Linked DNA regions of Tribolium castaneum. The protein of the gene in region 2 purifies or fractionates together with the protein of the main gene of each other region. This does not show direct contact. Links are inferred from orthologs where the notes say so. Each region holds a gene or a part of one and is shown on either strand. Other genes may lie near its edges.

Evidence for each region.
Region 1: the proteins of CSN8 (region 2) and mahj purify together in Homo sapiens (affinity purification with mass spectrometry; 4 studies listed by BioGRID and IntAct, counting the BioPlex papers as one, with this or other methods). This does not show direct contact. The link is inferred for Tribolium castaneum from reciprocal best matches to the Homo sapiens genes COPS8 and DCAF1.

The regions. Positions count from the first base shown.
Region 1 is NC_087398.1:986,111-990,499, forward strand, and holds the start of mahj (protein mahjong), read right to left. Parts: upstream 2,896-4,389; 5' UTR 2,628-2,895; coding exon 2,515-2,627; intron 2,469-2,514; coding exon 2,318-2,468; intron 2,267-2,317; coding exon 2,129-2,266; intron 2,081-2,128; coding exon 1,953-2,080; intron 1,907-1,952; coding exon 1,731-1,906; intron 1,680-1,730; coding exon 1,603-1,679; intron 1,555-1,602; coding exon 1,019-1,554; intron 952-1,018; coding exon 813-951; intron 763-812; coding exon 264-762; intron 213-263; coding exon 103-212; intron 57-102; coding exon 1-56. Other genes in the region: nuclear migration protein nudC, read left to right, coding at 3,204-3,287, 3,338-3,415, 3,463-3,801; uncharacterized protein LOC656652, read right to left, coding at 4,112-4,137, 4,190-4,389. UniProt on the Homo sapiens protein: Acts both as a substrate recognition component of E3 ubiquitin-protein ligase complexes and as an atypical serine/threonine-protein kinase, playing key roles in various processes such as cell cycle, telomerase regulation and histone modification.
Region 2 is NC_087398.1:6,313,329-6,316,261, reverse strand, and holds CSN8 (COP9 signalosome complex subunit 8), read right to left. Parts: upstream 1,453-2,933; 5' UTR 1,326-1,452; coding exon 1,269-1,325; intron 1,202-1,268; coding exon 1,131-1,201; intron 1,082-1,130; coding exon 900-1,081; intron 848-899; coding exon 597-847; 3' UTR 542-596; downstream 1-541. Other genes in the region: RabGGTa (geranylgeranyl transferase type-2 subunit alpha), read right to left, coding at 1-166, 215-217; pcm (5'-3' exoribonuclease 1), read right to left, coding at 1,967-2,050, 2,097-2,369, 2,417-2,542, 2,589-2,795, 2,847-2,933. UniProt on the Homo sapiens protein: Component of the COP9 signalosome complex (CSN), a complex involved in various cellular and developmental processes.

The DNA.
Region 1 (4,389 bases), about 5.3 Mb from region 2:
ATTTTCTTAATTGGGCTGTTAACCGTGGCCGAATATCGGGTTAAAGTACCACCAACCTAACAAAAAAATCAAACAAACGTCTGGAAACGGTAAAAAACGTACCCTATTTATGGGGGCACACACACAATTGACAATGACTCGAAGCGCAGCCTTTTGTACATCAGCATCGGCCACTATTTCACCCTCAGCGGCCCCCAAAATAATATTAATCCCTACAGAAGAAAAAAACAATAAAAAATCCCAAAACTGTGATTTTCTCGTACCAACTGTGGCACTCTCCTCTGGCAATTCCACCCTATCACAAAATAACAATTGAACTTTAGGCATCACACACGCAATAGCCAACGTATCCAAAGCCGACCTGACCGTCTCAGCCCTCCCACTATAATTCCACTCATACGCAAACGCGATTATTTTCAACAAGAGTGTGATTCCCCCTAATTTGAGTAACTGATCAACTGGCGTCCAATGGCACCGAAACGGCATATATTGCAACAACGTTTCGACGTTCTGTTGCACCTCTTCAGGCGATGACTTGTACGGTTTGTAGCTCGGCTGCGCCGGTAAAGGCGGCTGTGCCATTTTTTCGTTAAGTCTAAGTTGTGATCTTTTAATTGGTTCTACTTTTAGGTTTAGATGAGCTTCAAGGTAACGACGGTATGCAACACAAACGTGGCGAACGATTTGACGAGCGGCGCACTCTTGATCTTCGTTTAGTTGAGTCGTATCGGTGTCCGGCAGTAAAATTGATAAAGTAGAAATCTGTACATATAACTCTAGCAAACAATTTTTTTTACTTGGGATAAACTTACCACATTGTGTAACTTTCGTAACCCATCATGAGCATCAAATTCCTCCAAAATCACTTTGAATTGAAACGTGAGACCGAAAAACATTATAGCATGACATCGGCCCGAATCGTGTGAGCATTCCAAAAGCCATAAAGCATACCTAAGATTTTTTTTAAATTATGAGTTTTAATTGATTTTACAAACTGTAAGGTATAACTTAGACTTACTTGACTAAACTGGTGATCATGTATTTCGGAAGCAGACAAACCCTCTCCATTGCCTCCTCACAATACCCCAAATAGTACAAACAAATCGAGACCCCAGTGGCTGATATTGACGGCCTTGGCACCTCCAGAAGTGCCTCAAGACCATCCATTTGAATAAACTCAATCGAGAATTTTTTGTGGCATAAAAGAGCAGCAAGATATTTCAAGGCTTCAAATGCAAGTCTTGCTTCTTTAGTCGCTCGGACATTCACATACTTTAAGACCAAACTAAGAGCGTCATTTTCGAAAACATGACTCAAAAACTCCTGATATTCACCCAACGGTGTCAAATAACGTAAAATGAGTATTTGACGCGTTGCTATAGTTGGCGGAAAAATTTGCACGGTTCCAATCATAAAACTTTCAAGCTCTGCCCACGACGAATTGCTCGTTTCGTTAAATAGGAAGGGTTTTTGAGGAGAGCCTTCATCAGCTTCGCTTGAATTGTGCTCCAGCTTTAGTTTTTTGCGTTTTTGGCCGCTTTCCGAATCTGATAACTGTATTAAACGTGAGACCATATCACGAGGAGGAAAAGGCGCGCTTACCTCACTAGTGTTAATCACATCAGTGTTTTCTTTATTAAGTGTTGTTTTCGAATTTGGAATAACTCCATTCTCGCGGGCTGTAAGAATAATTATTGAAGGGTAAAATACAATAGGGTGTCGTTACGTACGCCTTTTAATACCAGAGGGTGAAACTTTTACGACACCGTCACCGCGATAAGGGGGCGACTTCATTGAAGATAAGTGTGCAAAAGGTCGAGTATTTGTCGTGGTCAAAAATTCCGAGGAATTTTGAAGCCTACGCAGTCTTTGAAGTAGTAAAGGCACAAGTCGTCCGTTTTGTTCCCTATTTTTTGGTAATTAACTGCGATAAGACCAAAGCGGAAACTTACCTAAAACGTGTGGCAATTTCTGGAATTTCCATTGCAGCAGCTAAAAGCCCCGTTGCGTAACTTTGCAGAGGTTCTATTGAATTTGTAGTCCATTTAATTAAACGGTGAATCAAATTATCCATATCGGGCTGAAACTAGTCGTTAGTTTTCCCCCCAAAAAAATAATTGACACGTACTTGAAACACCACTGATGTCTCTAAGCCAGGCATTACGTCTAGCATCAACCTACAAGCTGCAATATTCAACTGATCAACATCCTTGTCTGTGATTCCTGACCGAGAGTAGTACGTTTCTCTCAAATAATCGTTAACAAGCTGAAAAAATATTTATGTGTGTCTTTTTATGTTTTTGTGGAGAGTTAATACTTTGTTCATAAAAATATCCTTCCTAAAAAGCGCTTTTAAAATTTGGCCAAGTTTGCAGTCAGGATCAGTTCGTGAAGGGTGGCGTTCATCAAATGGGTCAGGATCCATTTTCAGGTAATTTTCAGTCTCCACCTCGCATATTTCGGCCAATCTGCCAACAAAAGGGTAAGAATTTGCCAAATTAAGGCAAGATCTACCTGGTGAGTGTCTGAATGGGGTCATAATTAGGCGCCGTATGTTCATCTTCCCAGTTTCTTATCAGAGTTGTGACTTCTGACATAACAGAAGTCGAATTGCTGTTTTCCGACATTATTGGCTCAAAACGTTATAAAATAAAGGGCATGAGGTAGTTTAACATAACCTAAAATACTTTACAGTTCCGTAATTGCAAGGTGAGATAATTAGGACACCGGGAGACTGGCAAAAACAATGCGATAATGTGAACTCTACACTTCTGGCTTGTAAAAAATCGTAATCAGTTTGATTATTTCACAAATTGGCGCAATACACATTCACAAAGCGCAAAACACAATTCTTGGCTTCCATTGAAAAATCGAGCACGTATGTTACTAAAAAAGTGCCGCCAATGGTACAAAAAAAAAACAGAGCTAAAATAAACCCTTGGGAAATTTAACGAATAGGAAATAAGCTTCGCACTATCGAAATATACACCCCCTTTGCATGTTTTAATTTTAATTTGAGGGTGGTCCCCGTTTGGCTAAAATTCCCACATTCGGTTGACCCATCAATGTTGGTACAAGCACCGTTTTTGGAAGTTTTCACGCCGATTGGTTTGGTTGGTACAATTGATATTTGGTCGATAGAAGAAAAGTCTAGCAATTTCCACGATTTTTGACCATTTTTTCACGAAAAAAGTCCAGTCAAGATGAGTGGCGATGATAATCAGACTGAGCAATTCGATTCCCTCTTCCTGTCAATAGCCCAGCACCATCCGCACGGCGCTTCGCAGGTGAGCCTCGATCTGTTTACTCTAACCTTAAAATCACGACAAAACTGTAGTTATTGGACACTTTTGTGAGTTTTCTAAGCCGCAAGACGGATTTTTTCACCGGGGGCGAGGAAGGAGCATGGGAAAAGGTAGTCCGGGGTAAAGCCAGTTCGAAAAATAATGACCTGGTTTTTAGTTAGTAATGAGCACATTTAGGAAATACGAACAAGTTAGTCGTAAGAAACACGAGACGGAGTTAAAAGAGCGTCGGGAACGTGAAGCCGCCAAAAAGAAGAAACAGCAAGAAGAGGAGAAGGTAAAACCGGCGGAAATCACCGAATTGACTGATGCTGAGGCTGAAAAGTTGCAAGCCGAGTTAGATGCTAAGAAAAGTGGGGTGAGTAATGGGGCCCCAGCTGTTGAGAAAATTGAAGAGGATGAGGATGCCTCAGAGATTGGGAAATTGAAGCCAAACAGTGGCAATGGATGTGATTTGGACAAGTACAGGTGGACGCAGACTCTCCAAGACGTTGAGGTAAGTCTTAGTTTTGTAGAAAATTTATTTGTATAATTTAATTAAAAATCAATTTACAAGATTTCCAAGGAGGTTCGGGACCTGCCTTAAAATTGTTCATAAATACTATACAATGCTGTAATGATTGCTTTTACATATCACAGTAACATCAAAAAATACTTATGGATAGCTTATGATTTAGAACAACCACAATTTTGGTCCAGTTGCTAAACCTAATTAAATAGGGAATTAAATAACTAACTACGATAAGTGCGCACGACATTTCAATGCTTCGTCAATTTTTGGAGAAATGTCGATGCTTGTCCTAATCCTAGTACCGTTGTCTTTTCGCCCTCACTGAAACAATAAAAAATTGGAAATTGGCTGAAATGAAAGCGGAAGAACTTACTTTCTAAGAGAAATATCGCCGCCAAGATCCCTATGGTAAACAAAGCGGACATCGTCAAAACTAGAATCGTCAATTGGTGTTTTCGACAGAAACTTCTTTGCCTGACCACAGGTCTCGTGTTCATATTAACTACGGTAAAATGCATCGAACTTGCCACTGAAACAGCATCTGGGTCTGGTTTCTTCAAATCGTTAACAGGC
Region 2 (2,933 bases):
TCAAGAGCTGGCCACTTAAAAGCAACGACGCCGGATCATAATTCTCCTTATTTCTCGTCGACAAGATCTGCTTCATTCCCATGCGATAAGCTACCAGTTTCTTCTGCTGCTCTTTCTGCTTTTGCAGCTTCTGTTCTTCGCTAGTGCGAACTTTGATCCTTCCATGCTGGAAAGGAATCGATTAGCAGTGCCTTTGGACGACCGAATGCTTTACCATTTTTGCGTTAAATTGGAAAATAAAATAAAAAATAAATTTTGGCCACCCAATGACACAAACGTCAAGCGTTTTTAACCTCAAATCCCAGGCGAGTTGTCAAATTGACAGGCTATTTGGCGGTTTTTATGAATTTTGTTCATTTCGTTTCGCTCGATTGAGGCCCCCATGGTGAAGCTGGAGCCATTTAGTCGCGTGTGAAAACTGACTGCGTGTAGGGCGACGCCTGTGGATTATTTTATATCTGAAGGTGTCACCCGTTATTTTAGGAAATTGTTTGGCATTACACCAAGTGGTTCTGCATTGTGTCAATTAAATGAGAAGGAATTTACTGAAATATTTATATTAGCTTACAATTAACTTATAAAAACAAAAATACAATTCAATTTTCGAGAAATGATACAAAATCTGTCAGTTTATACAATTGATCTTCACTACTTGTCTGGCCAGAAGTTTGTGGGGTTGGTCTAACGGGGTGAACCATCCTAGTGTCGGCTTCCACTTGCCAGCCCCTCTCCACACAAGCCGTTGCACAAATGTCTGGGGGCAAGCCCGTCATTGCAGAAACAGTGTCTAATGTTATTGAAGAATACGCTTGTGCTATTAAATCTACTGATCTATTTCTCACTCTGTCTGTAAAACGCAATCATTAGTGGTGTTTAGAGTGATCCAATTAGCAAGAAACCTTGAACTTGTTTCATAATATTCGCCACACCGTCGGACCATGTTACCGCGTTCAGAGCCTTGTAAATCCCCGGGAAGTCCCTCTTCCACATATGCTGGGCCACGGCCCAGATGTTGTTTAGCTCAGGAGTGGACGACTTCACCGAAGCCGGGATGCGTTTCCATAAATATTTTGCATTGCATCTACAACTAGCCTTAGCGGCAATACCGAACCAAAACCGGCGATACTTACAAGTCGTTTTCGTATAAATATATAGCTAGGAGTTGTTCGTAAACTTGAGGTGATGCTATACCGTTCTGTGCCTGAAAAAACGCCAAATTTGTAAAAAATTGGAAGTTTGAGGTTATATCTCTCGATGATGACTCTTACTTCTAACTCTTGCTTCTCTAAGTCTTCTGCTAATTTTTCAATGTTACTAGAAACCATTTTGTGAGGAGTTCTTTATAATTTGGTTTTAACAAATGTCTCGTTTTAAAATCATACACATTTTTTATTTACGAGTGCGAACAACCAACTGACCAAAACCCGACTGCGCCGGAAATGCACGAACGCTGCCGACGCCCGCGAAAAACGTCGCCATTTTTTTTAATTTCAAAAAATTCACAAAAGATCTAATGCCTAATTAGGTAATCACGTTTTCATCGAATTAATTTGAATAATAAAGCCCGAGTTTGTGTTTTATGAATTTATAAAATATCAAACACCACCCACTGTCGTTTCATTCCATGATGATAACCGGTCAATGTAAACCGCCCTTTATATGGACAAAAAATTAAAAAAGTTAAAATTCAAATATATTAATTAAAATAGCAATCTATCAATGTGTTCGTTAAATTTTTGACCACATTTTTGCTTGGTATCAGCAGCACAAAGGTAATGAAAGTCCACAGGCAAAGAAGGATGTGTATATTTACAGCATGAAAGCGTATATACACTCAAAAACCACATGTTTTGTTCAAGTTTTGTCCATAAATATTTCTTTAAAAAGGAATAGTTCAATCAACCTAAAGTGGAGGAAATTAAGACGGAACAAAATGTATTTTAATTCAGTCCATTAGTTCTTAAAATTACTGATTGAATCTAGCTGCAATTCTAGTTTTCCTCTGCTTTGCTGATTTATCCCGCCGGTCATTTCGCTCCAACTCACATGCCTGTAACAAGTCAGTCAACTTAAATTATCCCCATTGCAAGTTTCACCTTCGAGATTCCAGCGTTTTGGCTGTTACTTGAAACATCAGTTTTTTCTTGTTTTTTCCGCGGTGAATTTTCATTAACATTCTTATTCCCAGTGTTAAGATTCTTATTCCCATGAGTTTGCTTCTTTTTTAACGCTTGAAGCGGCACGAAATTGTGTGCTTTCGCACTCGTGTGCGGATTTCGACTAAAATTAGACTCGGGGTCCCTTCTACTGTAGTCCGTTTGGTGCGGGGGCGGCATTCTCTGATGCTGACTATGTCCACCCTGTTTGAACTTAAAATAAAAGATTTCGGCGTTTCTTTGACGATTTAGAGTGGTACCTGGTACGACTTATTCACAAAAACTTGGGATGGCATTTTGTTTTGTTGTTGGCGGTCTTGGACCCACTTGGTTGGGGGCACGGGAAATTCGGACGGAAGGCCCGTTTTTGCTGGCTTAGAACTCTTCTAGGAACATACTTTTAGTTTTATTATTTTTACGTAAAAATCTTACATTTTTTAGCATGTTTAAGGCATCTAGCGCCACATTTTCACTCGCTTCTTCCCGAGATTTTGCGGTTTTTCCCGATATGGATTTACCGCTAGGTAGAACAACTTGTGCAGCATATCCGTTGTTTTGTTCGAGGTAAAAATACCTCGGACAACCCCAAGCGTTTGACTGATAATAGCTTAATAAATTAGCGGTAGCGCTCGCCGCAGTCTAACAATTACATAAGCAGTGGAATTTTAATCGCAAAAATTGGTTATTTACCCCCATTTCCGGCTTTCGACTTGATGAAGTTGAACAATTTTGAACCGGCACATTTAATTTCGGATTACTCGATTTCTCGACATTATT